Linked DNA regions of Notamacropus eugenii. The protein of the gene in region 1 binds, or shares a complex with, the protein of each later gene. Links are inferred from orthologs where the notes say so. Each region holds a gene or a part of one and is shown in the gene's direction. Other genes may lie near its edges.

The links.
Region 2: the proteins of TNFSF13B (region 1) and TNFRSF17 are in contact, whole or in part, in a crystal structure (PDB 1OQD), measured with the Homo sapiens proteins. The link is inferred for Notamacropus eugenii from reciprocal best matches to the Homo sapiens genes TNFSF13B and TNFRSF17. Residues at the interface, in NP_006564.1 of Homo sapiens: Ser162, Tyr163, Lys204, Thr205, Tyr206, Ala207, Met208, Gly209, His210, Arg231, Cys232, Ile233, Glu238, Pro264, Arg265, Glu266, Asn267; in NP_001183.2 of Homo sapiens: Tyr13, Asp15, Ser16, Leu17, Leu18, His19, Ile22, Arg27, Ser29, Ser30, Asn31, Thr32, Pro33, Pro34, Leu35.
Region 3: the proteins of TNFSF13B (region 1) and TNFRSF13C are in contact, whole or in part, in a crystal structure (PDB 1OQE), measured with the Homo sapiens proteins. The link is inferred for Notamacropus eugenii from reciprocal best matches to the Homo sapiens genes TNFSF13B and TNFRSF13C. Residues at the interface, in NP_006564.1 of Homo sapiens: Ser162, Tyr163, Asp203, Thr205, Tyr206, Ala207, Met208, Gly209, His210, Leu211, Thr228, Arg231, Cys232, Ile233, Pro264, Arg265, Glu266, Asn267, Ala268; in NP_443177.1 of Homo sapiens: Asp26, Leu27, Leu28, Val29, Arg30, Val33, Leu37, Leu38, Arg39, Pro41, Arg42.

The regions. Positions count from the first base shown.
Region 1 is NC_092877.1:215,029,920-215,039,819, reverse strand, and holds the start of TNFSF13B (tumor necrosis factor ligand superfamily member 13B), read left to right. Parts: upstream 1-6,235; 5' UTR 6,236-6,334; coding exon 6,335-6,694; intron 6,695-6,807; coding exon 6,808-6,907; intron 6,908-9,900. UniProt on the Homo sapiens protein: Cytokine that binds to TNFRSF13B/TACI and TNFRSF17/BCMA. TNFSF13/APRIL binds to the same 2 receptors. Together, they form a 2 ligands -2 receptors pathway involved in the stimulation of B- and T-cell function and the regulation of humoral immunity.
Region 2 is NC_092872.1:95,273,121-95,282,950, reverse strand, and holds TNFRSF17 (tumor necrosis factor receptor superfamily member 17), read left to right. Parts: upstream 1-5,579; 5' UTR 5,580-5,930; coding exon 5,931-6,048; intron 6,049-6,394; coding exon 6,395-6,541; intron 6,542-7,760; coding exon 7,761-8,044; 3' UTR 8,045-8,985; downstream 8,986-9,830. UniProt on the Homo sapiens protein: Receptor for TNFSF13B/BLyS/BAFF and TNFSF13/APRIL. Promotes B-cell survival and plays a role in the regulation of humoral immunity. Activates NF-kappa-B and JNK.
Region 3 is NC_092874.1:300,934,560-300,944,244, reverse strand, and holds the start of TNFRSF13C (tumor necrosis factor receptor superfamily member 13C), read left to right. Parts: upstream 1-5,475; 5' UTR 5,476-5,985; coding exon 5,986-6,103; intron 6,104-9,589; coding exon 9,590-9,685. UniProt on the Homo sapiens protein: B-cell receptor specific for TNFSF13B/TALL1/BAFF/BLyS. Promotes the survival of mature B-cells and the B-cell response.

The DNA.
Region 1 (9,900 bases):
CTCATTTAACTTTTCCTGTGAGAGTTTGGGTGCTATGCCATTTAGTGCATATATGTTTAGTATTGATAACACTTTATTGTCTATGGCATTTTTAGCATCATGTGGTTTTCCTGTTTATCTCTTTTAATTAGCTCTGTTTTTGCTTTTGCTTTGTCTGAAAGAAATTGCTACCTCTGCCTTTTTTAAAATTCAGCTGAAACATAAGAAATTTTGCTCCTGCCTTTGTTTCTTTTGGTTGTTTGTTTTGTTTCTTACCCTGTGTGTGTCTCTTTGTTTCAAATGTGCTTCTTATAAATGACATTTTTTAGGATTCTGGTTTTTTTAGTCTATTCTGCTGTCCACTTCCATTTTATGGGTGAGTTCATTCCATTCACTTTCACTAACTGGTTATTTTCCTCTAACCTCTTCCCTCCCCTACTGGTCTCTCTCTCTCTCTCTCTCTCTCTCTCTCTCTCTCTCTCTCTCTCTCTCTCTCTCTCTCTCTCTCTCTCTCTCTCTCTCTGTCATACACACACACACACACACACACACACACACATCCTATCCTTCCTCTGTTTTGCCTCTGACCACTGCCTCCTTAATCTATCCTTCCTTCTATCAGTAATTCCACCACCCACCATCCCCTTTCTCTCCTACTTTCCCATAGGGTTAAATAGAATTCTATACCCAACTGAGTGTGTATGTTATTTCTTCTTTGAACCAATTCTGAGAAGAGTAAGGTTCAAGCATTACCTGCTACACCCCCATCTTCTTCTCCACTATAAAAGCTTTCTTTTGTCCCTCTTTTATGTGATAAATTTATCTCATTGTACCTTTCCCTTTCTCCTCCCAGTGCATTCTTCTTTCTCAGCCCCCCTTTAAAAAAAAATCATCCCATCTTAATCAACTCGTACCCTTGCCCTCTCTATATGTATACTTCTTCTAACTATAATAACTAAGTTCTTAGGAGTTATAATATCATATTCCCGTAAAGGAATGTAAACAATTTAACCTTGTTGAATCCCTAATGATTTCTCTTTTAATGCTTCTCTTAACTCTTTTATTTGAAAGTCAGATTTTTCTATTTCGGTCTGGTTTTTTTCATCAGGAATGCTGGAAAGTTCTCTGTTTCATTAAATGTATGTTTTCTCACTAAAGGATTATGATCAGTTTTTTCTGGGTAGGTTATTATTGATTTTAATCCTAGTACTTTTGCCTTCTGGAATATCATATTCCAAGTCCTTCCCCCTTTAATGTAGAAGCTGCTAAATCTTGTGTTAGCTTGACTAAAGTTCCACTGAATTTTAAATTGTTTCTTTCTGGTTACTTTCAATATTTTCTCCTTGACCTGGGAGTTCTAAAATTTGGCTATAATATTCCTGGGAGTTTTCATTTTGGTATCTCTTTTAGGAGATCAATGAATTCTTTCAATTTCAGTTTACCCTCTGATTTTAAGCAATCAGGGTAATTTCTTGAAACATAATCTCTAGGTTCTTTTCTTTGATGATATCTTTTAGGTAGTCTAACAATTGTTAAATTATCTTTCCTCAGTCTATTTTCCATATCTGTTATTTTTCTGATGAAACATTTTACATTTTTCTCCTATTTTTCCCCTTTGGCTTTGTTATATTGTTTCTTAATGTCTCATAAAGTCATTTACTTACAGTTTCCCAATTCTAATTTTTAAGGAATTAATTTCTTCAATGAGCTTTTGTGCCTCCTTTTCTATTTGACCAATTCTACTTTTTAAGGAGTTCCTTTTCTTGGTGAATTTTTACACCAATTATTTTTCCATTTGGTCGATTTTGCTTTTTAAGGAGTTGTTCTCCTCAGTGGATTTTAATGCTTCTTTTACCATTTGGCCAATGCTATTTTTTGAGGTGTTTATTTTTTTCTCAGTATTTTTGTGTCTCTTTTACCAAGCTCTACTTTCTTTTTACAATTTTCTTGCACCACTCTCATTTCTTTTCTGAATGTTTCTTCTACCTCTCTTATTTCGAACTCTTCCAAGAATTCTTGTTGGATTTGTGTCCAATTTACACTTTTCTTTGAAGTTTTGTATGTAATTATTTTGACTTGGTTGATTTCTGAATTTGTTTCTTAATCTTCCATGTCACCATAGTAACTTTCTGTGGTCAGGTTATTTTTAAATTGTTTGCTCTTTTTCTACCCTATTTATTGACTCTTAACATTATGTTAAAGTTGGACTTTGCTCCTGGAGTGGAATGGCCATTGTCTTCAGGTTTTTCACACTGCTGTTTTCAGAGCTAGTTTTTATAGTCTATAAGTTTTCAGTTCTCCCAAAATGGTGTGATCTTCTGGTCTATACTCTGTCCTGTAAGAACTAAAAGTACCCTTCTCTTCTCCGGAATTGTTACCAGTATTCCTGTTCCTCTGTGACTGCAAGTGCTCTCCTACTTTATGGTTCTGGAAATGTAACTGGGAATCCTGCTCTCCTGTGGCCATGTTAGTACTTTTTTCAGCCTTGGAGCTAAGACCAGCATCCTTGCTCCCTTGTGAGTGACTACAATTATTCTTCTCTGCCCTGGAACTGTGATCAGGGTCTCTATTCTCCTGTAGCTGCATATGTGAGTATCCTTTTTTTGTTCTGGGACTGTGACTTGGAACTGTGCATGGGCACTACAACAGGATCCTGCACCAGTGCCAGCAAAGAGGCCCCTGTAATCTCCTAATCAGTTTTCTGACCACTTTACCGTCTAGGAGTTTCCAAAGCTGCCACTGCTGCTGCTGCTTCAGCTACTTTTGAGGCCTGCTGTTGCCTTGTCAAGAAATGGCCTGCACTGCACTGTGCTCAAGGCCTGACCACTATGCTGGTGGGACAGACCTTTCCACAACCTCCTAAGTTGATTTGAAGCATTATTTTAAAGTTATTCAGAGGGGAAGATGAGTGAGTTCTGGTGAGTTCCTACCTTTAGTCTGCCATCTTGGCTCTTGAATGTGAATCTTAAAAAGGTCACATGGAAGGAGAATTACACTTATTTCACTTGGCGCAGAAATTGGCACTAGGAGTAATTAGTAGAAGTTATAAAGATACAAATTTAGGGAGCTGTAATGAGAAAGCTCCTGACAATTATAGGTGTCTGAAAGTGGGATCAGCTGCCTTGGGAAATGCTGGATTCCCCCTTACTGGAAATCTTTAAGCAAAGAATTCAAGGTACTGAATACTTTGTCGGGTATGTTGTAAAGGATTTTTTTCACATATAAGTTGGCCTAAATGGCATTTGAGGTCACTTCATCTCAAAACCCTTTGACATCATGTTCCACTTCTTCTTCTCCCTGGTCTCTGACAAAAGGGTGTCCCTTCTTGTCAAGGTTTACCTCTTTACATGTATATTTGATTACATTCATTAATTGTCTTCTCCATCAGATTGCATTCTCAATATATTCATTCTTTCAGGTCTTCAGCCTATCCCTATCAACTGATTCCTTCCCTGAAACATTCCAACCTGCCCAAGTCTTTCCTCCCCATCCCCCACATATATATATGAACATCTTCTGTGTCCTTCAGAACACTCTAAACAAAGTCAAGTGCAAGTCGTGTCATCATTTCTCTGATGTCATGGTTTTCTTTGAAAACGAAGGACCAAAATAAGAACATATATATATGTGTGTATATATATATATATATATATATGTGTGTATATATATATATATATATATATATATATATATATAATATACATATACATATATATATATACATATATATATGTATATATATGATTTTCAATCTCATTACTCAACTCAAACTACTCTCTTTATTGCCAAATATGTTTGTCTTTTCTCAGCACCAGTTCTTCTTGTCTGCTCCGCTATATTTTATACTATCAATCATCCTCTTCTCCTGGCTACTCTTTGTTCTCTGAGTTTGCATGACACTATTCTGTTCTGGTCACCTCCTTTCTGTCTAACTACTCTTTCTCATTCTTTGATGTATCACCATCCATATCACACCTTCTAACTGAAGGTGGTCCCCAAAGCTTTGCCTTAGGATCTCTTCTCTCCTCTCCTCTCCTCTCCTCTCCTCTCCTCTCCTCTCCTCTCCTCTCCTCTCTTCTCGTCTCCTCTCCTCTCCTCTCCTCTCCTCTCCTCTCCTCTCCTCTCCTCTCTCTGTCTTTGTCTCTCTATTTCTGTCTCTGTCTGTCATTCTGTCTTGGTCTCTCTTTTCTCTGCTTCTCTCTGTGTCTTTCTGTGTCTGTCTGTCTATCTGTCTGTCTCTGTCTGTCTCTACCTCTCTCACTGTCTCTCTGTCTTTCACTCTTTCTGTCTTTCCCTCTCTCTCTGTTTCTCTGTCTCTATCTCTCTGTCTCTAATATGTCTAATATGTTTATGTCTGCATAAACTCCCCTGAATTTGACAATTATCTCTATGTAGATGACTCCTAGATCTACCTATCCATCCCTGGTCTTTCTCCTGAACTCCAGTCTTGCATCACCACTTGCTTATTAGACATTTCAAATGCAATATCCCATCGATATCTTAAACTCACTATTCCTAAAACTGAACTCATTTTCTTTCCCCTCAACCTTCTTCTCTTCCAAAATTTGTTATTTCTGTCAAAGACACAGACCATCCTTCAAGACTTCCCGGTCCATAACTTCAGCCTTGCCCTCGACTCTTCACTGTTCCATGCCTTATATATTCAAAAATTTGATGATTTTTGCCATTTATGCCTTCACAATATTTCTCACATTCAATCCCTTCTCTCTATTCACACAACTACTGTCTTAGATCAAGTCTTTTTCATCTAGATTATTGCTAATTGCAATTCGCAGTGTCTCACCAATGCAGTCAATCCTATACATTGATGCCAAAGTAATTTTCTTAAAACATGGATCTGATTCTGTGATTTTCTTGATCAACCAATCAACTCCAGGTTTCTTGTTGCTTCTAAGATAAAATATAAATCAAGTTAGTTTTTAAAGCACTATAGAACCTGGTCCCAATCTATCTTTCCAGATTCATAGGGTATTTCTCCTCCTACACTCTGATCCAGACAACAGACAAATTGGCATTCTCTATATTATTCATACAGGAAACTTCATTTCCTTTCTTGGGGTCTTTACATTAGTTATCCTGATGACCAACAAACAACTTCTTAATTTTCTTCATATTTGTGTCATATGCATTTTTATATATACTTGTCTCTTCCATTAGAATGTAGGCCCCTTGTGTATACCAACTATTTCATTCTTTGTGTCTGTATCTACAGCATGTAGCCCAGGCCTCAACATATAGCAGGTGCTTAATAAATATTTGTTGTTTGAAGATGTTTTTGTTATTGCTGCTGCTGGGTTTTTTTTGGCATTGATTCCTAGTCTGTGATTCTTTTATCCTGTGATTTGGAAAGTTTTCCTGGAGTTCAACTTGGAAAGATGGATAGGATTTGAATAGGCATCCAGGAGAAAAGGGAATCCCCAGAATGGAAAGGATGCAGAACAGCACAAGAGAAGGGGTAGAGGTGGCACTGAACATAGTGTATGTGGAAAGCAATGAAGAATCTGTTCCAAGTAGGTGATTGTGTCTTGTTCCTAAAGAGCTTCAGTATGTCTCCATTAGTAATTTATGCAGAAGCCTACAGGAAATGTTCATTATTGGATACTGGATATTGGATCCCTCCCTCTCCCTGCCCCCCCCCACAACTAACCCAAATCTATCTTTCAACATTTCTACTTATGCTGTTAGATGGAATCAAAACTGCTGATGATCATTTCTCACATGATGACCCTTCATCTGTTTTAGTGCTTCAGATTATTTTTGAATCATTCCCCCAAGAAAATGACCCTGTACTTTATTTAGCTGACCCCACCTAATCATTCATTAGTTTTATTGCCCTGCCTTGGACTCGTCCCAGTTTAGCCTCATCTATCTTAAAGTAGACAGAGCCCAACCAGAGATAGTCTAATAAAGGTTTCATATATGGCTACTTAAACACACTAATCTGTTATTTTGGAACCTAAAACATTTCCCCTGATAGACCTCTTAGTCAAAGGTCAAAGCTGTATCTAAGAAAGAAGGGCTATGGGAGCCCATTTGCTCCTGGAAGTTTGAGAGATGCCAATAAAAACATATAACAAAAACTGAAAGTGAAAAGAGGAAGGCTGATTGTGCAATAAAATAAAAGAGGGAACGCCAGTAAAAACCTATTCTATGGTAACTAGAGAGATGCATAGCAGAGGAAGGAAGAAAATTCAGGAGAGGCCTCCTGATGAGGCAAGACAGGCTCTAAGATCCCCTCGGTGCTGGACATCAGCAAACAAGGCTAACAGGAAATGATCCATTCCATGTGGTCACTTATTCTGCCTTCTCTAACTCTCAAAGTTCAAATAGAGAAATGGATGACGACAGAGAAAGAGGAGCAGTTAAGATTTACTTCTTCACTTCTGGCCTTAAGAAAAGAGAAGAAATGAAACTCCTGGATTGTACACCCACCCTTCCTCAGGGAAGAAGCTCTGCATGGCAAGCTAGAAGAGGGCTCCTGTCAGCCACTCTGCTACTGACGCTTCTCTCCGGTGGCCTGGCACTGGTCTCATTGTACCAAGTGTTCACCCTGCAGGCTGAGTTGGGGAGTCTCCGGCATGAACTTCAGGCTTATCAGAGCAGGGCTGAGCAACTTCAGGGCCTGCAGAAGGAGAAAGCAGGAACACACCCTACTATTCTCCAGTCAGAAGCTGCTACCATCACAGGACTACAAGTGAGTTACCAAGAAGCTGCCTAGCCCTGGTTACAGGGCTCTCATGCTTCCTATTTCTTTTACTTCTGCTTAGTTTTGTTTTTTTAAATAACCTGGGTCTTTTCCATTAACAGGAGCTTGGGGTACCCCCTATCACAGGAGAAAGCAGTCCCCAAATCAGCCTTAGACAAAGCAGAAGAAGCAGAAGAGGTGTTCCGGACTCAGGGGAAACTAGTAAGTTGAGGGGAAGCAGTGTTTCAGAAACTTCCCAACTGGGGCATATACCCATAGCACAAACTGGAGAAAATTAGGTGAATTCATTTTCCTTCCTGGATCTCTGATCATATTTTCTAGCTGCAAACAAAACCTGACCAGCTATGTTGCTAAAACAAGGGAGCCCTTTACGAGGATTGCTTCACTTGTTGCAGGTTGTAATGAAGAAGACATTTAAGAGTCAGTCTTCAAGGGCCCTGGAATCATCTGGGGGAATGGTGGAAGGGAAGGAAAAAACCTCTTTTACTATTTTACTATTAGCTCTTCTTGGTGATTGCAATAACCTAGTCAGTATTTTAATGTTTCTAAATAACAGATTTCATTGGTGGAATAATTCACCTGGGCTTGAGATAAAGGGAGCAGTTTATTTAATCTTCAAATAAAATAAAGGCCACTTTGTCAGAAGCATTGCTCATGACTCACCTAATAAAACCACACCCTTTCCTATCCCTTTTCCAATTCTGGAACCACAATCAAATTAGGGACTGTTTCTACTTTTGTATTTATATATATACTCAATGCTAGACACAGTGCTTGGCACATAGAAAACCCTTAATAAATGTTTTGTTTTTCATTCTTTCATTCAGATGCTTTCATCTCTCTATTATTAGAATGTGCCTATCTGAGACAGAGAGTTGGCTAAACATACTCATCTCTCCATGCGCCATTTTGTGATACTTTATATCCAAACAGGTGTACTGTTTTAATCTTAATGCTTCTCCTAAGACATTTTTAATGGTTTCTCCAATGAAAGCTGAATGTACTGCTAGTCTTTTTAAAGTAATTCTTCATGGAGTCCTTAATTTTTAAACATCTTCTTATCTTAGAGAGGCAAAGTGTCAAAATGGATAGAGATCTGGCCTCTGAATTTTCTCCTGTGTCTGACACGTACTGACTATGCAATTCTGTAAAAGTCACTTAACCTCTTAGTTTTTAAACAACTCTCTAAGGCTATTATTTAGAGTGAAGATACCTTCCTGCATTCATAGACAGAGTTCCCTCATCTGGGAGTTCCCTAATCCAATGTAATAAGACGTTCAGTCTCTATTTTTCTGTCAGTTAATCTTTTCTAACCATGAGGCATTTACTAGAATGGCTTACAGCCTCACAGGGTCTTAGAGATGACCTTAGAATCCTTTCCATTAAGTGAAATCCAGTATAATTTAACGTAAGAGAAAACAGGCCCAGAGAGATACAATGCCTTATCTGAGAGATTAATTATACCGTTTTGCATTTAGCCATCATTTGCCCATGATCAGAAAAATTCTTTACAATAATTCAGGAATTTATGTTTTAGAGTTGACAAAGTATGACTTCAAATGTAATGGTTGTGGTCACATTTTTTATTAAAACCCCAGTGATTCCCTTTTTAAAGATGTGCTCATAAAATGCAATCAAGCTTTCAAGTCCAAATTTAAAATATATCTTCTTTGTGGGGCATTTCCTGAACACCCTAGATCATTATAAATCTTCCCTTACCCTGAACTTTTACCATTTATCATTTTTACAAGTCATACTCATTTGGCACTTAATGACATTGTATTTTTCACTCTTGGTTACATTTGTATGTGTATTGCCTGTTTACCAATAGAATCCAATCAGAAGCTCCAGGAAGAAGGAAGGAGAAAGGGAGAAGGTTAAAACTTGGTTCTTCTACACTACCTACTAGAGTCACTTGTACATAGTACACAGTAAACGAATGTTTAGTGATTGATTCAATAGGAACTTTAAAGTGATAGTGATTTGAATGAGTTTGAGGTTACTTGACATTGTATTTCTTCTGAATTTCTTCTGATTTCTCAGTTTGAATTTAACCAGAAAACATTTTATGAAATATTAAAAGTTCATATTTATTACAGCTGATTGAAAAACATAAGAGGACTGCCACAAAGTTTTAGCTAGGAATGCCTTTTGGTTGTGGTGGTGAGCCTAGGATGATAGCTCCCTGAAACTTTGAGTACAATGGCCGCAGAAACACCTTCTTTAAGGCATTCCTTCAGTTATAATTCTGGTGAATTGGAGTTTTATCTCTTTTTCATTCTTCAATGGCAATATTTTTCTTAATCATTTTTTAACCTTTCAAATTAAAGACTTAGCTGGGTTCAAAGTATTTCACAAGATTGTTTCTGGATAAAATCAAACAGAAATGTGGGGAAATCCAGTATAAAAGAGGTGCCAAATAACCACAAAGTTGCTCAAATTAATTTCATGCTTAAACCCATGAACATATCTAGAGTTTGACTCTTAGTAGCTTACTAGTGCAAACTGCCTTCTGTAGTAGCAAAGGCAGGTAGGCAGCATCGTTTCTTTTTAGGTGAGGACTTGACTGCCCAACCCTCCAGTCCTACTTACCTGAGTCTTTGTCCTTAGATATCCAAGCAGTACACGATTTATTTTCTGTAGCTAGCTTCTCTTTCCATATTTATTTTTGGGTAAACTGTATAGTGAGAAGAGATCCTAAAGATCCCAAAGAAGTGTAATGGGAGAGTGCAACATAAAGTTTTAAGAGTAGCAACGGGTCCCATATTCCTGCCTACATGGAAAAAAATCATGAGCCTCTTTTCTATCAGTTCACACAAAAGCTATAGCGGAGAGCCAGCTGGCTATTGACACTATACCCTCTGGCCAAAATTTGTCCCTGAAGGGATTTTTGTCTTCATCAGAAGATCAGAAACTTGGTCTCCAGTGTTGCAAGAGACAAACATCTGCTCTGTTTTTCAGAGTGGAATATGCAATTGACAGCCATGACCTAGCAACCATATTTTTTCTGAACCCTGTTATTGTTAAGCTTGACATTTTAAGAATATAAAGAGCCAAGAGACAAGATGAACATTTTCTTTAAGTCAAGTCAGTCAAAAGAGAAGTTGTACATGTCTATGCCATTCATTTGGTTGGAAGTAACAGATTTAATGACTAATATTTCTTCACACGTTCAGGGACTTTTTGAACCCATT
Region 2 (9,830 bases), on another chromosome or scaffold:
ATTCTAGACATGGTAGACCCCTTGTGCCAAGGAATGGAGATGGTAGATGGAATACTGCATACAAGGAATATCTTGTAAACTAGTTTGATTGGGTAGAGAGTGCACGAAGGGGAATAATATGAAACAAAAGAAAAAGTAGGTGGAAGTCATATTGTAAAATGCTTGAAGTATCAGGCTGGGTTAATTTTATGATTTTAGCAATATATACAGAATTTTAAAAAATAAGATACAACATCCATTCCTGTTTAAGAAACAAAACAGAACACTAGAAAGCATAGGAATAACATGACCTTTCCTTAATATGAAAAGCGGTAAAACTAACAGTCATAATATTTGTAATGGGGATAAACTAGATGCCTTTTCAATAAGATTTAAGGCAAAGTATAAGAGTGAGCACCCCAGCCTACACAGGGGGACCTGCTACCACAGGTTTGTAGATCTACATTCATAAAAGGAAAGACAGCTTCTGAGGGGCTAAAAATCACTTTAATTAAGACATGTATCATTCACCTAGGTCAGAGGAGTCAGCACCCTGAATTTCAAAGAAAATACAGAGAAATTAAAGCTCATCAGACATGGCTTCCTCTGCCTGACCATAATTCAAAAGACAGGCCCAACTGTCTGACCATAGTTACCAGAGACTGACATCTGGATTCTCAAAGGGGGTGGAGGGAGGGGAAGCCACTTTTCTTCAGCATTTTTTGGGGTCTCCTTTAGCAAGGTATTGACCCACTTTTCATGCTTTTCTTACATCTCTCTCATTTCTCTTCCCAGTTTTTCCTCCCCTTCTCTAACTTGATTTTCAAAATCCTTTTTGAGCTCTTTCATGGCCTGAGCCCATTGAATATTTATTCTGGATGTTTGGGATACTTTTATGTCTTTCCCTGATGGTAAGCATTGTTCTTCCTCATCAGAAAGGATGGGAGAAGATATCTGTTCACCCAGAAAGTAACCTTATATAGTCTTATTTTTTTTTCTCTTTTTTGGGCATTTTTCCCAACCAGTTACTTGACTTTTGGGTCCTTTGTCAAGAGCAGGGTATACTCTGGGAATCTGTAAGATCTCAGTTCCTCCAAGGTGGCACAATCAAGTGTGTACTGGTCTGGGTGTAGAGAGGGATTTTTGTGCCCAGAATCTTAGCAGTTACCTCTCCACAGCCACCTGGCCTCCTGTTCTGCCAAGTCAGCACTAGGGGCTGATTTTCAGATAAGCTGGATGGGCAGGGCTGCCATTCAGTGTGAGACAAAGACCAGCTCCCCCAGGGCCTCCACACAAGGCCGAAGCAAGAATCAGCTCCTCAGTGTCTGCAGGGTTTTTATGCTCCAACTATGGAGTCTGTTGCCGATGTGGCCTCTGCAGCAACTGCGTGAGGCCAGAGCTATGGAAGGCCCTTCTCCCTTCCTGGACAGCTGAAAAAACCCTGTCACTGACCTTTGGCACCTGTGGGTTGAGGGATCTGAGAACCCGCTGCTACTGGGACTGGGGATTCCGCAACTGGAGATTCTGCCACCAAGCGCTGTTTGAGGAGCTGTGCTCCACGTCTGGTGCAACAGACGTTTCCTGTGGGCCTTTCAGGTCACCCTGGGCTGGAAATCTCCTCCACTCTTTTGTTCTCCACTCCTGCTGCTCCAGAATTTGTTGAGAGCCTCTCTCCAGGTATTTTATGGGCTATGTGGGGAGAGCCTCTGTATCTGTGTCTTTCTACTCCACCATCTTGGCTCTGCCCCCCTGTATCTGTCTGTGGGTTTATTTTGTAACCTGCAAATTTACCAAAGTTTATTATTTCAAGTAATTTTTTACTTGATTCTCTGGGATTCTCTAAGTATATTATCATATCATCTGCAAAGAGTGATAACTTAGTTTCTTTGCCTAATCAAATTCCTTCAATTTCTTTTTCTTCTCTTATTGCTACAGTTAACATTTCTAGTACTATATTGAATAATAGTGGTGATAATGGACATCCTTGTTTCACTCCTGATCTTATTGGAAATGCATCTATCTTATCTCCATTGCATATAATGCTTGCTGAAGGTTTTAGGTAGGTACTGCTTATCTTTTTATTGAAAGTTCCATTTATTCCTATGCTCTCCAGTGTTTTCAATAGGAATGGGTGCTGTATTTTTTCAAAAGCTTTTTCTGCATCTACTGAAAGAATCATGTGGTTTCTGTTAGTTTTGTTGTTGATATGATCAATAAAGCTAATAGTTTTTCTAATATTGAAGCGGTCCTACATTCCTGGTATAAATCCTACCTGATCATAATGTATTATTCTTGTGAAAGTGACTGTATTCTTTTTGCTAGTATCTTATTCAAAATTTTTGCATCTATATTCGTTAGAGAAATTGGTCTATAATTTTCTTTCTCCGTTTCCCTCTTCCTGGTTTAGGTATCAGAACCATATTTGTATCATAAAAAGAATTTGGCAGGACTCCTTCTTTCCCAATTTTCTCAAATAGTCTATACAGTATTGGAATTAACTGTTCTTTAAATGTTTGACAGAATTTACTTGTAAATCCATCTGACCCTGGAGATTTTTTCCTAGGTAGTGTATTGATGGGTTATTCAATTTCTTTTTCTGAGATCGAGTTATTTAAGTATTCAACTTCCTCTTCTGTAAATCTAGACAATTTATGTTTTTTAAAATAACATCTATCTCATATAGATCGTCAAATTTATGGCATATAGTTGGGCAAAGCAGTTTCTTATTATTGTTTTAATTTCCTCCTCATTGGAAGTCTCATTTGTTCTTTATGATTATTATTCACATATCGTCAGCAATGGCTTGGCAATCTCATTTGCTATTTTTTCCCCCATACTCCAAGATGTAGTTCATCTGAATCTGGTGACTTTAACTTAAGGAAGGTACATAAAAACAACTTACTTTTGAAGGAGTTTCAATTCCCCTCTTCTTAATTACTTTTCTTTAAATCTTTCCAAATTGAAGATACATTCTTTAATACATAAAATACAAGCAAAATAAGATTTGAGTAGCTTTATTTAATTTTTTACAAGTTAAAGTTAAATTTAGAAGAGGCAGACATTTTCAGCAACAATTGTGATATAAAAACAGAGGATATCAATAAGATGTAACAAAGTCAACATCAAAAAAAGGCATGCTATTTTATAGTAGACAATGTTGAACTTGGATTTTTTTTTTGGTCTCTGTGTTAAAGACACATTAATAGAAATAGTTTATGAAAACCTTGTGAGATTCAAAAAAGATGTTTATAATAACTGAGGGTCATAACTATTTCTGAAAATGCCATTTTCCACTGAAAATATTATAGTTTGGGGAAAACAAGACATGATGAATTATTTTTGCAAATGTTTAGGGATTATACTATATTGAAGTATCTTAGCATGTCATATGCATTCTGTTACATAAAATATCAAATTGATAAAGAAATATAATTTGAGGGTAAGGCTCCATTGAGACCAGCTAGGTGGTATAGTGGATAGAGTGCTGGGCCTGAAATCAGGAAAACTCATCTTCCTGAGATCAAATCTGGCTTCAGCCACTTTCTAGCTATGTGATCCTGGGAAATTACTCTTTGCCTCAGTTTCCTCATCTGTAAAATGAGCTGGAGAAGGATATGGCAAACCCCTCAAGTATCTTTGCCAAAGAAACCTCAAATGGGGTCACAAAGAGTCAGACACAACTAAACAACAACTGAAGCTTTATTTTATCTTTGTTTGGGTATGTTTTCATATAGCTGCCCCTAAATTCAGTGACTTTTTTTGATTTAAAATGTTTTATGTTGATGTAATTTCTTAGAAACATCTTAGAGACAGGCATCTCAGAGACTCACTTTGAGATACAAGGTCAAATATCTATTGAATTGCCAAGGTTTATCTTGGTTTCCTGCTTAAACAATCTAACAAATTCAGGCTTAATTCCACATTTTTATTTCTAAGCCACAGATACACAGGAGTCAGTAGTGTATCACACCAATATTCTCTCTTTTCTGAGGATCTTACAGACCATAGGGGAGGGATTTAAACTCACTCCAGTACTAGACCAACTCACTAGTGGCAAATGGTTTGGTGATATTGGCTTTTATGGTCTAGCTTGTCTGCCTTCATGGAGTGGGGCATCCCTTGAACAGGACATGCTTTTTCTGCAGTGTCACAGCTGTTATTCATTCTCTTACATACTTCCCCACAAGTGTGACTTTCATAACCTGCTAGTGATCCTGTTTATTTTCTGTCACACAAATGAATATCTGTGAAGGTGAGAGATCTTTTTTGCTCCATAAGCCTACTACCATAGGCATTCAGAATCACCTTCCAGTGTTCCCTCACTCTCAACATTCATATTCAATCAGTCTCTGAAGGCTGGTGGAGATTAAAAAAGTCTGGAATTTAGCTCCAACTCTGACACTGAATTTAGCTGTGTGATGGTGGATACATCACTTAGCCTATTTAGGCTTCTGTTTCCTCATCTGTAAAATGGGGGTAATAACCTTTGCACTACCTTCTGCTAGGTGAGGCTTAGTGCTTTGTAAACTGCTAAGCATTATAAAAATGGAGGCTATAATTTTCATCCTCACGCCTCTCTTATTTCCACAATAACCATCCTAGTTTAAGCCTTTAATAATAATAGCTTACATTTATGTGGCATTTTAATGCTTACAAAGTGATTTCCAAATATTATCTCCTTTTATTCTCACAAAGACCCTGTGTGGTAGGTAGTAGAAATATTACTATTCTTTGTTTTAAGGATGGAGAATTAGAATATTAGACTGTTTAAGTGGCTTGTTTCTGGTCACAGAACTATTAAATATAGAGCAGTGGTATTCAAAGTATAGTATGTGGACCCATAATTGTACTAAGACATTATTTGCCTACTAAAATACTCCTCTCTTTCCCAACTATATATCTGTATGAGACTGGATTTTTTTCATATACTTCCATCAAAAAAATATAACATGATTATTTGAATAAAAAAACAAATATAAGAATCTAGCTGTCTTCTACATGAGAGATAGTTACATAAGTGTTTTTTAAAATTCTCATTTTCTTTTGTTTATAAAGTAGTTATTTTCATAAAATAGCTTATGTTAATGTTATTTTAAAAGAAAGAATAAAAATGTAAAATTATCAATTTTAATTTCTAATAAGGTAAATGTTCATAGAAATAACTCACATAAGCAAAAGTTCTTAGTGATCCTTAATAATTTTTAAGAGTATAAAGGAGTACTGAGATCAAATAAAACATAAAAGTTAGTTATTATTTTCAAAATACACCCAATATCAACACCCAACTCCATTGTCACTTGCTTTACCTCAACCAGGATATCACATTTACCTCATATTGTACTTAACACTACAATACATTGGAGTATCTGTGCATGTGCTTTGTGTCAATTGATAAATTGCAGGCTCTCTGAGGACAAGAACCCTGTCATGTATATATTTGTATTTTCCCGAATGCCAAGTATATTATATACATTTATAACACTTTCTCACAGTCTTTTGACACACAGTAGGTGATTAATAAATGCATGTTGAATGAATGAGTGAACAAAACCTTTAAACTGAACGTCTTCCTCTCCCTAACAACCCTCAGGATTATCTGCACCCTCCAAGTTCTACTTAATTCACCTGCTTGGGAAATAGCTTCTATAAATAAATAGTTTCTGTTTCATGAATGATTTACTTTTCATATTTACACTCCCTTAGTCTTGCCTCTAAGCTACCGCAAGTTAGGTTGCTTAGAAATTTGAATTTAGTTGGTATTCAAATCCTTAGCCACCAAGCCCCTAGTCTGAAAGGGAAAACCTCGTTAAAAAATAACCTCAGAACACAATGCACTATTTGATACTTAGCTGCTGTTGTTACTACATTTGTTAGGGGCAACTTGACAAGACTTTTCCTGTTCATTCTTATTTTTTTTTATGGTTCTCTAGTTTTGGGGGATACTGATACAGATGGCTCAAAAGTGCTTTCAAAATGAATATTTTGACAATTTGCTGTACACTTGCAAACCCTGTCACCTTCGATGTTCCAACACACCCCCTTTGGTGTGTCAGAGTTATTGTAATGCAAGTAAGTAATGGAATATTTCTCTTGCATTTATTTATTAGCTTGTTGTGCAGGTTCTGTATTTGTTCCAAGTAAAATATATAAGGAAGACAGTGACATTTTCTAAATAATGCATGATAATGACAGATTGCAATGATTAAATTGACAAAAATTATTCAAAACAGAACTGAATGCATTTATTCAATCTTATCAGTGCAATGTAGTTTATCAATTATTCAAACAGAGGGTTATTTAGATAATAGAAAGTCAATATTAATCAAGAAGAGAAATTTGAGAAATTATGTTATATTAAAATGGTGTTTGTGTTTTGTCTTGTCTTCATTATATCTGCCATTGTCTATCGATAAAGGTACTACCACTTCCTTGAAAATCACAGATGTGAGTATCTGGATCTGCACAGGTGTGGGAATAATTTCATCGTTGACAGTTTTCTTGTTAATACTTATCCTGAAGAAAATGATCCCTGAGAGATCAAAGGACGAATTGGAAAATACAGGTACAAAATGTTATGAATTTGATTTTAAATCTTTGAAATCAATCTTCATGAGATGGCAGCTGTAACTTTCAGTTTTTTCTTATTGTGTGTGTATAACTTTAGTATCTAAGTCATAAATCTTCTGAGTGCATTGGTGAATGAGTGAATTAGTTCAAATTCTGCAGATCAACATTCATTTCTACTGTATTCATTATGATGTTGACAGCACCCATGCCTTCCCCCCAAATCTTTCCATGAGGTATGACTATCAAAGAACAGAAGTATTTTTCAGAAAACATTGATATCTTTGCAAAGGTTGATTGATTAACTGATTAATGCTAACTAAGAGAAACTGTCAGCCCTATCCTTCAGTATCAGGAAAAATCTGACTGCATCTGTGAATGTATTTTTAATACAAATTTGAATGATTCACTTACGATAAAGTACTTAAGCCTTCACTGAGGAAGAATGTTCAAGTCAAGTTTTTCAGGCATTAGGCCTCCTTGGTCTAAGGTCTTCTAGTGAAGAGCTGGCAATAGAGTATTCATTGTCTCATTTAAGAACTCTTTATGAAAGAAATATTAAGGCTTAGGTTTCCATACCACCTCTGTCCATGACCTTATCCCTAAACATATCAGTCAGTTTCCCAACTTTTCTATTTAGGCTCTAATTTGTGAAAAACATCCATCTTTTTATTTATAATAGAACTAGAGAAGTGAGACATCTGTTCCACTTACTTCTTTTACTTTCATTGCCCAGAGGTCTTTCGGACAGGTAGGGTATAGTGTTTTATGAGGTTGTTAGTTTTTTAAAAATTTTAATAGAATTACTTTAGGAGAATGTCATGGAAAGTATTAAGACTTTTCTTCACATGTATACAATGTATGCATATATACAATATAATGGAAACTTTTTTACATTACATTCTCAATTCAGATTCCTTTAAAGAAAATTCATTAACTTAAAAAATGTAGACCAAATGAATATCAGCTTGTCTCTAGCTCCAAATTTTGAAGTCACTTATAGGGCACTCATGACATTGTGTAATATATGGTTACAGAGGATTCTGTCCTTGTTAAGAGTTTAAGGCCTACTGTGCAAAGACCACTTTGTGGAAAGATGTGCCTCTCAGTGATATCATAGCTTCATTGTCAAAACCTAAGACCTTTTATACTTAGATTTAAGGCAAAACTTTTAGAGCAACAGATGGATAATGCTGTACTTGTTTATATCTTTTCAGAGCCAAAAGCTGAGCTACAGGAGACTGCAAAAGTTGATCTTGATAGGAGTGAAAATAATGAAGCTGGAACTCTCCCTAGAAGCAGCACTTCTATGACATACATAGTAGAAGCATGCAAGTGTGAAGACTGTAATCTAGGCTCCGATATATCCTTCCCACTCCCAGCCATGGAAGAAGGAGCAACTGTTCTTGTCACCACAAAAACAAATTACTTTTGCAAGAGTTCACCAGTTTCCATGAATGACACTTTCATGGGGATATGGAAATCTATTTTCACCACATAATGATCTAGTTTGACTGGGATAGTGCCATTTGTAAAGTTTATGTCAGTGAACAGAGCAATGCATCTCATCCCTTTATAATAGTTGCTGTCATCTGTCATCAAGATAACTCTTTTTCATTTTAGAATCTTTCTTGATTTATTTCTCTATGTTTTGGTTGAGAGTCAACTATAAAAACCTTCTCCACTTCATTATTGCATTCTCTATTCATTAAGAAAAAGGAGTGATGTGTCAGTTTCAAAGTTTCTTATTTTTATATTTGCATATTTACTCAATATTCACTTATATAGTAGAGAAATAAACTGACCATCTCAGGACAGGTTTAAAGTTGTATTCATTGCTAAAGGAAATGAGGGACTGAAAAAATAGGAAATGCCTAAGATCATTTCAACATTAAAAGAGGACAGAAATTATTTTAGAAGACTTTAACGAACTTTTCCTTCAGATGGAGAGTTCATACACACATTAACAAGGCAAAATGGAAACAAGTGAAAATTGATAAATTGCAACACATATAGAGAGGTTCAAGGTACTATAAGAATTATGGCAGCCAGGTTAAAATTTAGATTTTTGTTTTGAGGTTTAGGATGTAGTGATCCTCTTTCATTCATTTACAGATCCCTTCATTTAAGAGAGCAGCTTTATCATACAATGGGAAGATGAAATCCTTCTCATATGGCAGCAAATGTTTTATTTATCCCACCTGTTGTCTGTAATGAAGCAGAAACTGTGGTAATTCAATATATTTTCAAATTAATTGTGAAAGTGTGCTGGTCAAGGAATTATCTATTAAAGTTTCCTGACTCTTCCTCTCCCAGTGAATGCAGTGGTAACATCTTTTGTTCTTGCAATTCAAGTGTTGATGAATTTTACCTGTCATGTAAATATGAATTATGTATTCCCTTTTCTGTTTTTGTGCCTGTTAAAATATTAAGTCATTTTGAGATCTGTGGTTTCTTCTTACATTGTAAGAGGTGCCTTTCATTCCTGGCTGAATTTGTTATGACAACTAAGTTTGATATTCTACTGGCTTTTCCCTGACAGTATCTTTGTAGTTTCTGGGAGGTGGACTGACTTGAAGGTAGAGGTGGGGCTACAAGGAAGAGGTTTTAGCTGGAATGAAGATTGGCTTGCTGATGGAGATCAAGTGTTTTTTATGAGTTTTAGGGACTTCTTGATCTATGGCTTTCAAACTTTCCAAGTTCATACACCATGGTGCAAAAAATTCAACAACTTCAATCACTCTTGATTAATTACTTATGTAAAAGCAATAGCATTGGAACAAATGGAAAGGACAGCATTGCTTTTTATTAGATACCAATAATATGCTCTGAAAAAGTGAACAAGTAAATTGACAGAAGTAGAAGTTTAAATATTACTAATGACCAACTTGTGGACTTCTTGGTAGCCTTTTACAGACCTTGTTGAAGATAAGAGAGAGTTTTAGAAGATGGGGGTGGGTGACTGAGTGCTCGTAGTGAACCTTTTACACTGGCCACACTGTCAAAGTGGTTACCTCAAGTCACTTCTGGCACTCAGATCCATAAGCTCAGGAATTTTATCAGTCTATCCAGGCTGTGAGGAGCTGTTTCTCCATTAAGCAAACTCAAAAGAGAATGAGTTATAAGGTAAAATAACAGATGATTATTTTTGTAGGGAATAGATCTTTTCAAGTATTAGGGAACTGATTATTAGCTAGAATGCTGCTTGGTAAATACGGAATCTAAGTGAAAGCTCTGCATTAGATTTAAAGGATGACAGATATATTGTTATATACACATACATATAC
Region 3 (9,685 bases), on another chromosome or scaffold:
AAACCTCGTCACTCTCAGGACCCTCGGCCCCAAGAGAGGCCTGGCCACATCAAGAAGGTCCTGGAGGGAAAGCACATGGATGCTGGGGCTGCTGAGAACCAAGAATTCCCTCCCCAGTACCACTCCCCAAGACCCTGCCAAGAAAGGCTGAGCTCTCAGGGGCCTGTGTTTCCTGAAAGAAAACAGCTCTGTTTGCAGGCTCGTAGGCTGAGCCCAAATTCCCCTGAGGCCTCTGGCCTCCCTAGGGGCTGGCCTTGGAAGGGGGGGAAGGTGAACGAAAGGTGGAAGAGGGGCCCACTTCCTTGGTCTGTGCACATGTCCTTGGTTGTCCACCTACATGCCCCTCCCCATCCCACATGAGGTTACACATCTCATTATTTCCTAAAGAAACAGTGTCCTAGAATGCGAAGGCTGGGAGAGCCCTTAGAATTTCAGAGCTATGAAGGACTTTAGAATGGGGAACAGCACAGCTGGGCAGGAGCTTAGAACAGGGGATGGAGCAGGGGCTTAGAAAACCCTCATATTTTTGAAAGGTCCTGGGACTCAGGTTATACAACACACTGATGTCAGATGAGCATGACTAGTCTGTGTGTGCAAACACACACACACACATACACACACATATATACACATTACACACACGCACACACACATACACATACAGATACATGGCCACATGTATTTTTTTGTGAATACCAAAGAAAGGAGGTACCAGTGTGTGGTGCAGAGCTGGTGGCCGTCCCCTAGCTCAGCTCCTCAGGAGGTGTCTGACCTCAGGATCTCTGGCCCCAGACCCCCTCCCCACCCCCAGCTTGCAGGGCTGGCTCCTCATTCCCCCACTGTAGAAGCTAAAATGGATTCTATCCCAGTCCCACCTGAGTGAGGACAAGCCTCCAGGCTTGGGGCTCAGTTTCCTCTCTCACCCTACCCCCCATGGCCAGAACCAGGAGTTAGCCTGGGACGTCCTGGTTCCACTTCAGATTCTTCTAGGCTCGGCTGATAATGGCATGATCTGCCTCACTGGGCCCTAGCCCAGCCTTGTCCTCACTCCTTTCTCTGTCCAGAGCCTTCGTGGTCCCAGGTAGAGGCTTTCTGCCTGGAATGGGAAGGAGGAGACCAGGAATCTAACTCGACCCAGCTCTCACAATGACTTATTAAGTGACCTTGAACAGGTCCTCAGTTTCCCCACCTACTAAATGAAGAGGTCGCCTAGATGCTCTCAAAGGAATTAGTAGACTTGGGTTCTCTGACACTCACCACCCATGACCTTGGGCAGCTCTCTGGGCTTCAGTACCCTCAGAGTAAAATGAAAGAGTTGGAATCTATGACCTCCAATCTTCCTTACAGTTCTGGATTTAGGATCTCATGACCTCAGTCAGTGCTGAGTTTCTGAGTCTCTGTCTCCTCAACCTCATGTCCTCCCCTCCTTATTGTAGGATGGCAGGCACAGCTGGTAAGGGGGCCAGGACTTCCTGCAGGAGGCCAGCAGGGTCTGGGGACAACTTTGGAAATGGGCACCTTGCTTGAAAGCTGAATACATCGCTTCTCCTTCCCCTCTGCCAACCTCACTTGATCCCCCAGGGATAGGGGACTTGGCTCCGGAAGGGGAGGAGGGAATCAGAGATGGTCCTGACCTCAGAACCAAGTCTCTACCCCACTCTGTGTGTGTGTGTGTGTGTGTGTGTGTGGTGTGGTGTGTTGTGGTTTGGTATGGTGTGTGTATAAGAGTGTGTGTGTGTGATGTGTGGTGTGTATGTGTGGTATGTTGTGTGTGTTGTGGTGTATGTGTGGTGTGTGTTGCAGTGTATGTGTGTGTTGTGCGTGTGTTGTGTGTGGTATGTGTGTGTGTGATGTGGTGTGTGGTGTGTGTATGTATGTGTGGTATGTTGTGTGTGTTGCGGTGTGTGTGGTATATGTATGTGTGGTGGTGTGTGTGGTGTGTGTGTGTATGATATAGTGTGTTGTGTTGTCTGTGTTGTGTTGTATGTGTGTATGGTATGGTGTGTGTGTGTGTTGTGGTGTATGTGTGTGTTGTGTTGTGGTGTGATGTGTGTGGTGTGTTCTGTTGTGTGTTGTGTTGTGGTGTGTGTGAGATTGTGTGTGGTGTGTGATATGTGGTGTGTGTGTTGTGGTGTAGTGTGTGTTGTGGTGTGTGTGTTGTGTTGTGTGTGGTATATGTGTGTGTGGGGTGTGTGTATGTGTGTGGTGTGTTGCACATGTGGTGTGGTGTGTGTGGTGTATGTGTGGGGTGGGGTGTGTGTGGTATGTTGTGTGGTGTGTGTAGTGTTGTGTGTTGTATGTGTTGTGGTGTATGTGTTGTGTGTGTTGTGTTGTGTGTTGTGTTGTGTGTGTGGTGTATGTATTGTGGTGTGGTGTGTGTGTGGTGTAGCATGTTGTGTGTGTGTGGAATGTGTGGTGTGTGTGTAGCGATTGGGGGTGGTAGGTGGTGGGCAGTGGGGGTGGGGGGGCTGTGTATGATTGTGCTGTTTGCTGTCTCTGCCAGGCTCTTGTCTCAATAGGTCTCACTAACTGGCTGGCCAGACGGATGGACAGAGAAATGGATGGATGAATGGATAGATAGATGAATAGATAGCTAGAGAGAGATGGATAGATAGAAAACAGAAGGATGGATGGATAGATAGGTAGACTGCTAGATAGATGGCTTAGATGGATAGGTAGATGAATGAGAGCTGTAGATGTTCATCTTACTCTCCTCTGTGACTGTCTCTATGTCTCTACAGCTCTGCCCCCTGCCCGCCTGGCCACTCTCCTGTGTCTCAGTGCCTCTTCCTGGCCCCATGTTTAATTCTCAGTTTCTCTCTTGGACCATATCACTCACATTGTTTCTCACTAGTTCTCTTTGGAAATGGCGCCCATTTCAGTAGCAAGGTCTCTTCTGTCCTGGGCCACTGAGATTCTCCAAAAGTCAATATGATGTCTAGGCATGAACCCTGGACTGAAGGGAGCTCAGGAGGCCTGGGAGCTGGTTCTAGCTCTGCTCACCTTGCTGCGTGATGTTGGCCAAATTCCCTAACCTCTCTGGGCCCCATGGGCTTCACCTGCATGGTGAAGGAAGTGGACATCTGGCACAGTGGACAAGAAGCTGGTTCAAACCCTGGCTCTGCCACTTCTGACTTTGGGCAAATCCCTTCCCCTCCATGGGCTCAGTTTCCTCATCTGTAAACAAGGGGGTTGGACCAGATGACTCCTGAGATCCCTCCCTGCTCACCATCAAGGCTCCATCAAGGATCCTATTGTGTTGACAGCCACTCCCTTAGAAGATGAAGACTGGACTTTGTGCTTTTCTCTAAGCTTGAACTTCCGGCTGGGTGGGTTGGTGTTTAGGCAGCTGAATTCGGAGCCAGAAAGACCTGATTTAGAACTCTGTTTCAGACACTCACTGGCTATGTGACTCTGGCCAACTCATGTAACTGCTGCCTGCCTTGGTTTCCTCATCTGTAAAATGGGGACAACAGAAGAACTTTTCTACTTTGCAGGGCTGTGGTGAAAACCAAATGAGATAATGTATTAAAGTGCTCTGAAAACCATAAAGTTTTCTATAAATGCTAGCTCTATAGATGATCTTGTAGCAGTTACTGACCTCCCAGAGCCTCAGTTTCCCCCTGTCAAATGAGAAGGATTCTCTCACCCTCCTTACGGGGGCTGCCAGAGAGGAGTAGGGTATGAGCAGTCCATGCCCAGCTTCCATCACATCCTCCCTCCTAAATCACCTCCTCAGTCATTGCCAGCCCCCACACCCTCCCAGCTACGCCCACCCCCACCAACTCAAACCCACTTCTGGATTACCAGCCTACCCACTCAGCGACAGGACGCCTACGCACCTTCCTGTGTCAAGTCAATGGGCCATGGCCTGGCCTGGGTGGGGAGGCAAGATAGAGGCTCCCACGGGAGTCAGAGAAGGAAGGGGGAGGGGGCAGTGTGACGGACATGTCCTCCTGGAAGAGGCGCCCAGGCTTAGTAAAAAATAGCTGCAGCAGTGCGTATTCATTGTGCCTACTCTACAGCTGGGCTGGGGGGCAGGAGGTGACAACAGTCTGGTTCATGTAACCTGGGGAGGGCCCCAGCACAATGGAAGGTCCCTTGCACTGACTCCATGGGAGAACAGAATGGACAGTCAGGGCTGGGCTGCAGTCTACTTTGTTGAACAGCATACCCACATCCCCAAATGGGGATAATAGCAGCTCCTCCCTCTCAGGGTGGTTGTCAAACTCCAAAGACATAATTCTTGTAAATCACTTTGCAAACTTGAAAGCCCATAGAAATGCTCACTCCTCTTACCATTCAGGATCAGAGTCCCCGGAGAGCTCACTACAAGGTCAGAGGTAGAGATGTAGGCAAGCTTGGGAGACCTCCTCGTGGCTGTGCCTCTGGCTGGGGACAGAACCTGGGGGGACACCCACCCGCATTTAGGGAGTGGGGCCAGTCCCAGGATCTCCCTTCTGATCCTTTGACAAGGAGCCAGGGGGAAAGGCAGAGGAGAAATAGTTAGGGGGGTAGGAGGTGAACCAGGAGCAAGAGGCAGCTCTGAAGCAAAGGGAGAGAACTCAGACCCCAAATCGCTCCCTCCAGAGATCGGGCCTTGCTTGGGCTCTTATACACCCTTCCATTTAGGACATGATCAGCTGTTGAAAGCTGTAGAGGTCCAGGAGGTGAAGACCCGGAAAAGGATTCTTTGCTTGGACAGAGCTGATATGGAAGGAGGATGTAATCAGCTGACCAGGTTGAGAGAAGGCAGAGAGAAAGGAAAGAGATTGGGTAACACCATGTCTGTAGGGGGTGGGGGTGGGGGTGCAAACAGAGTCCCTGGTGTGGCTAGGAGTGAGGGAGTAGAGGTCAGCTATGCTATCTCGGGCTCTGACTGCCTTTGTCTGTTTCTTTCTGTATTCATCTCTCTCTCTCTCTCTCTCTCTCTCTCTCTCTCTCTTTCTCTCTCTCTTTTTCTTTCTCTCTCCGTCTGTCTGTCTGTCTGTCTGTCTCTCTCTCTCTCCTCTCTCTCTCTCTGTCTCTCTTTCTCACTCTCTCTGTCTCTCTTTCTCACTCTCTCTGTCTCTCTCACTCTCTCTGTCTCTCTCTCCCTCCTCTCTCTGTCTCTCTGTCTCTCTCTCTCTTTTTCTTTCTCTCTCCTTCTGTCTGTCTCTCTGTCTCTCTTTCTCTCTCTCTCTGTTTCTTGTCTCTATCTCTCCAACTGTTCCTTTCTTTCTCTTCTTCTGTCTCTATTTCTGCCTCTGTCTCTCTCTCTGTGTCTCTCTATCTCTCTCTGTCTGACCCTTTCTGCCTTTCCCCTGCCTTTGCCTTTATCTCTGCTCCAGACGATTCCTGTTTCTGGTCAAGCTATCTCTAGGACCACAGAACTTTCATTCCTCTTTTCCTTCCTGTTTCCAGATGGGTTTCTTTCTTAGCCTCTTTCTGTGTCTTTCTCTGCACTTCCCTTTCTGCCTTACTGGATCTTCCCTGCCTCTCTTGTTCTTGTTTGGGGTCCGACAATCATAGACTGTCAGAGAAGAGATTCTCTCCGTAAAAATCTCTTAGTGATCATCAGGTCCAACCGCTCACCGAGGGTGGAGAACACTTCTAAATGTGCTTGAACACCTGTAGGGATGAGGAGCTCACTTGCCATCAAAGCTTCTTCACTTGGAGGCCCTCCTAATTTCCTGTGCTGACCTCAGCAGGCTAGGCTCCATGGTGAGGGGCCCCTAGGGATGGAGGAGGAGGACACAGAGTGTGACACACAGTCAGAGACTTGAGGAAGGTGTGGGTACAGCCAGTCAGGGTCCCTGGGCCCCAGGTACGTTCTTGCTCGGTCGGGGATGGGGGAGGGTCATGGTGACTTCTGAAGCAAAGAGCCGGCCAGGGAGGGGAAAGCTGCCCCCAAACCCGCCCCCTCCTTCCTGGGTTCCCAGCCTGCCTGCCTTCAAAAGCCTCCTGGGCAACTGAGTAGCTGCAGCTGCAGGCTGACAGTCAAGGATGGTGGGGCAAGGGTTTGGAGGGGCCAGCGGGAAATGTCCTCCACTGTGTTTTGATGAACTCCTCAGGAAGTGCTTGCCATGCAATTTGTACCAGACCCTCACGGCTACTGGAGCTGGTAGGGACACCTCCCCCCTTCCCCTTCAGTTTCCTCTTCCTTGGCTCTACCCCCCTCCCTTCTTCTCCCCATCTCCTCCTTACTCTTGCCCTCTTTTCCTTTGGTGCCTTTGTCTTTTCTCCGTTTTCCTCCCCTTTCTCTCCCCCTTTCCCTCTTCTCTCTTCGTCTCTCCCCTTCTCTCTCCTTTCTATCCTCTCCCTTCTGTCCTCTTGCATTCCATGCTGAGTGTGACCAAAGGGGCTTGGAACTGAAGCCTGTTTTCCAGAATTCCGAGGCCTGTCCTGGAGAAGAAGGAATAGCTTTGTTCTACTTGGTGCCTCCGCTCCCCCAAGGCAGAACCAGGATCAGAGGAGAGCTTCCGGATCCTGATTTTTGCTTAGCATAAGGAAAAGTTCCTTAGAAAGAGTTCTGCCCCAGGGACTCCAGCCCAAGGTACCCCAACATAGATCCTGTCCTCTAGAGGTTTACAATTTGGGGGGAGGGGTAGAGGACAGAGTACAAATCTATACATAACCACAATTAATGAGAAAGGGAGATAAGTATGGAGGAGAGGTCTGATCAAAGTGCTCAGAGAAATCTGAGGAGAGAGAAGATGTTTTCACATGGGATGTGGACAAAGCAGGCCAAGGAAGATTTCATGGAAGTGGTATCGTCCAAGTTGGCCCTCAGTGGAAGAAGGGTTTCCTTCCTAGAGATGGGGAGTAGGAGCTCTAGGCATAGGGGACAGCATGAGCAAATGTGGATAGGAGGGAAAGGGCAGAATGAGAATGGAGACAGAAGTCTCCAGCTTGACTATCCTAGACCTGCAAAATGCTCTACCTCTGGAAGCCAAAGGAGCTCCAGGCCTGAAGTCATGAAGGTCTGAGTTAAAATCTAGCTTCAGATACTAACTAGCTATGTGACCCTGAGCAAGTCAGTTTCCTCCTCTGTAAAATGAGCTGAAGAAGGCAAAATGCTTGAATATTTCTGCCAAGAAAGCACCAAAAGAGGTCACAGAAAGTCAGACATGACTGAACAGCGGCCTCTGAGGACATGCTTTCAAATCTGGGAGTGGTCAGTGTGACTTTAGACAGGTCACCTCATTCTCTGGGCCTCAGTTTCTTGCTCTGCAAAACAAGTGGATTGAAGGAGATGGTCTCTGAGGTCCCTTTGTGACTAATCTTATAAGTGGAGAGTCCATGAAGGACGATGGGAGTCTGGGAAGGGCTGGAGTCTCTGAAAGAAAGAGGAGTTAGGAGATGGAGATCAGGACCTGTGCTCCCTCGCCCCCCAGAAGAGGGTCAGAGGTGGGTGGAGACAGGGCTGCAGTTTTGGGAAGAGAGTGTGAGGGGTGCAGGAGGTTGGGGAGTCTTCTGAATGCAGGTGATAACTGAAGCCGCAGCTGAGCCTCAAGGTTCGAACTGTTGATAAGAAATGTGAGGAAGAGCAGCCCACAAAGGAGACCAAGAAGTAGCAATCAGAGAGGGGAGGAGAACCAGGAGGGAGCTGTACTGTGACTGCTGAGAAGGGAGAGGTCATCTGCCATGAGGCCTGGTCAACACCTTCAGGTCGAAGAAGGGGGAGGGGAGGCAGTAACTGCAGGCCACAGGAATCCAAAAGAAGGCTTGGAGGGCCAAGCAAAGACCAAGGGCTCTGAAACAGGGCAGAGAGTGGGTGAGAGCAAAGACACCTTTGCAGAACGGCTGGCTGTTTCACTCTATGGCCCTCTCATACCCCCTCCACAGGTCCCCCCTCTTCTTTCCCACCTATGAAAACCCTACTGTTTCTATTTCCTGCCTCCACCTGTCTCTCTCATAATGTCTCTCACTTTGTCTCTTCAATTCCCTTCCTATCTCTCATTATCTCTCTCTTCTTCCTCTTCCTTTATCTGCCTCCCTCCATTGTCTTTCTGGGATGCGTGAATCACAGATCCTTGTTTAGTAGGGACTTTGTGGACGATTTAGTCCAATGTTCCACTCAGGACAGGAGTCCCCTTTAAAGTTTCCCTAAGGGACGCTCATCCAGCCTGTTCTCAGACCCTTGGGACAAAGCAGCCTATTGGGTTATGGGACAGTTGGAGTTGCTTAGATACATGAGCCAGTCAGGCCCCAGCATGACAATGGACAGAACCAGGGAGCAGGCAGGGGACCCCAAGGTGTGATGTTACAACAGGCTGGCTTGGGTAGAGCAAACAATAGAACAGAGAATCATTATCTGAGCTGTAGTGATCAAGGGAGGTGCTTTCTGGGAAAGCAGGTACTCAGGGATCCCAGGTCTATGTCTGGGGGAGGGGGGGCTCAGTCAGCTGGAGAGAAATTGCCTTTCTCTCTCCTTCCTTCACACCCCCTTTCTCCTTTCTCCCTCGCCCGTTTTTTTGTCTTCTACCTGTCTTGTGTCACTTTCTCCTTTCCCTTGTCTCTCCCCTCTTCTCCTCCCTCCATCTCTCTTCCTCCTCCCCCATCTCCTCTCCTCTCCCTTCCTTACCTTCTACTCTTCCTCATCCACTCCTAAAATCTGTCTTTCCCTTCTTCATTCTCTGTCTCTCTCCTGAGATGTCCTGGATGAGCTGGAGCAGATAAGACTTTATGTAACAGAAGGAAAAAAACCTCCCAAACCTTCAGCCCAGGCACCTGAGGAGTATCCCCTGTGTTACAGGCAGCGAACATGTACATGGGGGGAGGTGTATTCACCTAGGTAGGTGTGAACACACCTGAATGTGGGCTCCTGCATGAGAGGAAGCCCAGGGGGATGTTGCCTTTTCAGAAAACTTGGGGAAGTCTACAGAGGTGACTTTGCTGCCTTGTTCAGGGCCTCTGGCTCTGGGGGCTTCTGCATTCCAGGCTCCCTCCAGAATCCTCCCACTCAGGAGGAGAGAGAAAGAGGAGAACATGTGGGCTGGGGAAAGGCGTCAGCTCCTCCTCCATCCAGGACTTTCTGTCCCATCTTTCTCTGTCTCATTGTAGCCCTCTGGCTGTCTTTTTTGTCCTATCTCTCCTTTCCTCTCTATCTCGTAGGACCATAAAACCTTGCTTAGAGCTGCTCTCCCTCCCTCCCCCATCTCCTCTCTGTCTCTCTGTCTTCCTCGCTTTCTCTCTGTCTTTGTCTCTTTCTCCACATTATTTTTGTCTCTTTACATCTGTCTCCCTGTCTGTCTTTATGTTTATTTCTTTGTGTTCTCTCTGTCCCTCTGTTACTTTCTCTTGATCTCTCCTTTGTCGGTTACCATCTATCTCTATATTTCCCTTTCCACTTTTGTCTCTCTTTTTTTCTGACTCTGCCTTTCTGTCTCTCTCTTAGTCTCTCTCTTTCCCTTCCTTTCTGTCTATTTTTCTTTCCTTTGCCTTTTTCTGTATCTCTGTCTCTCCATCTATCTCCCTGCCTTTATCTCCTCTCTCTGCCTCTGTCTCAGTCTCTTTAGCTCTCAGCCTCTGTCTTCCTCTACCTCCCTCTGCCTAAGTTACTTTCTACCCTCTCAGGTTCTGGGTATCTGCCTCTTTATGTTCCCAGACAACATCTCCAGCTCCTCAGAGACAGTCACACTGATGACCCAAGTGTCCAATACGTCAACAACTTCACTCCTCAGGATGTTTCCAGGCCCATACC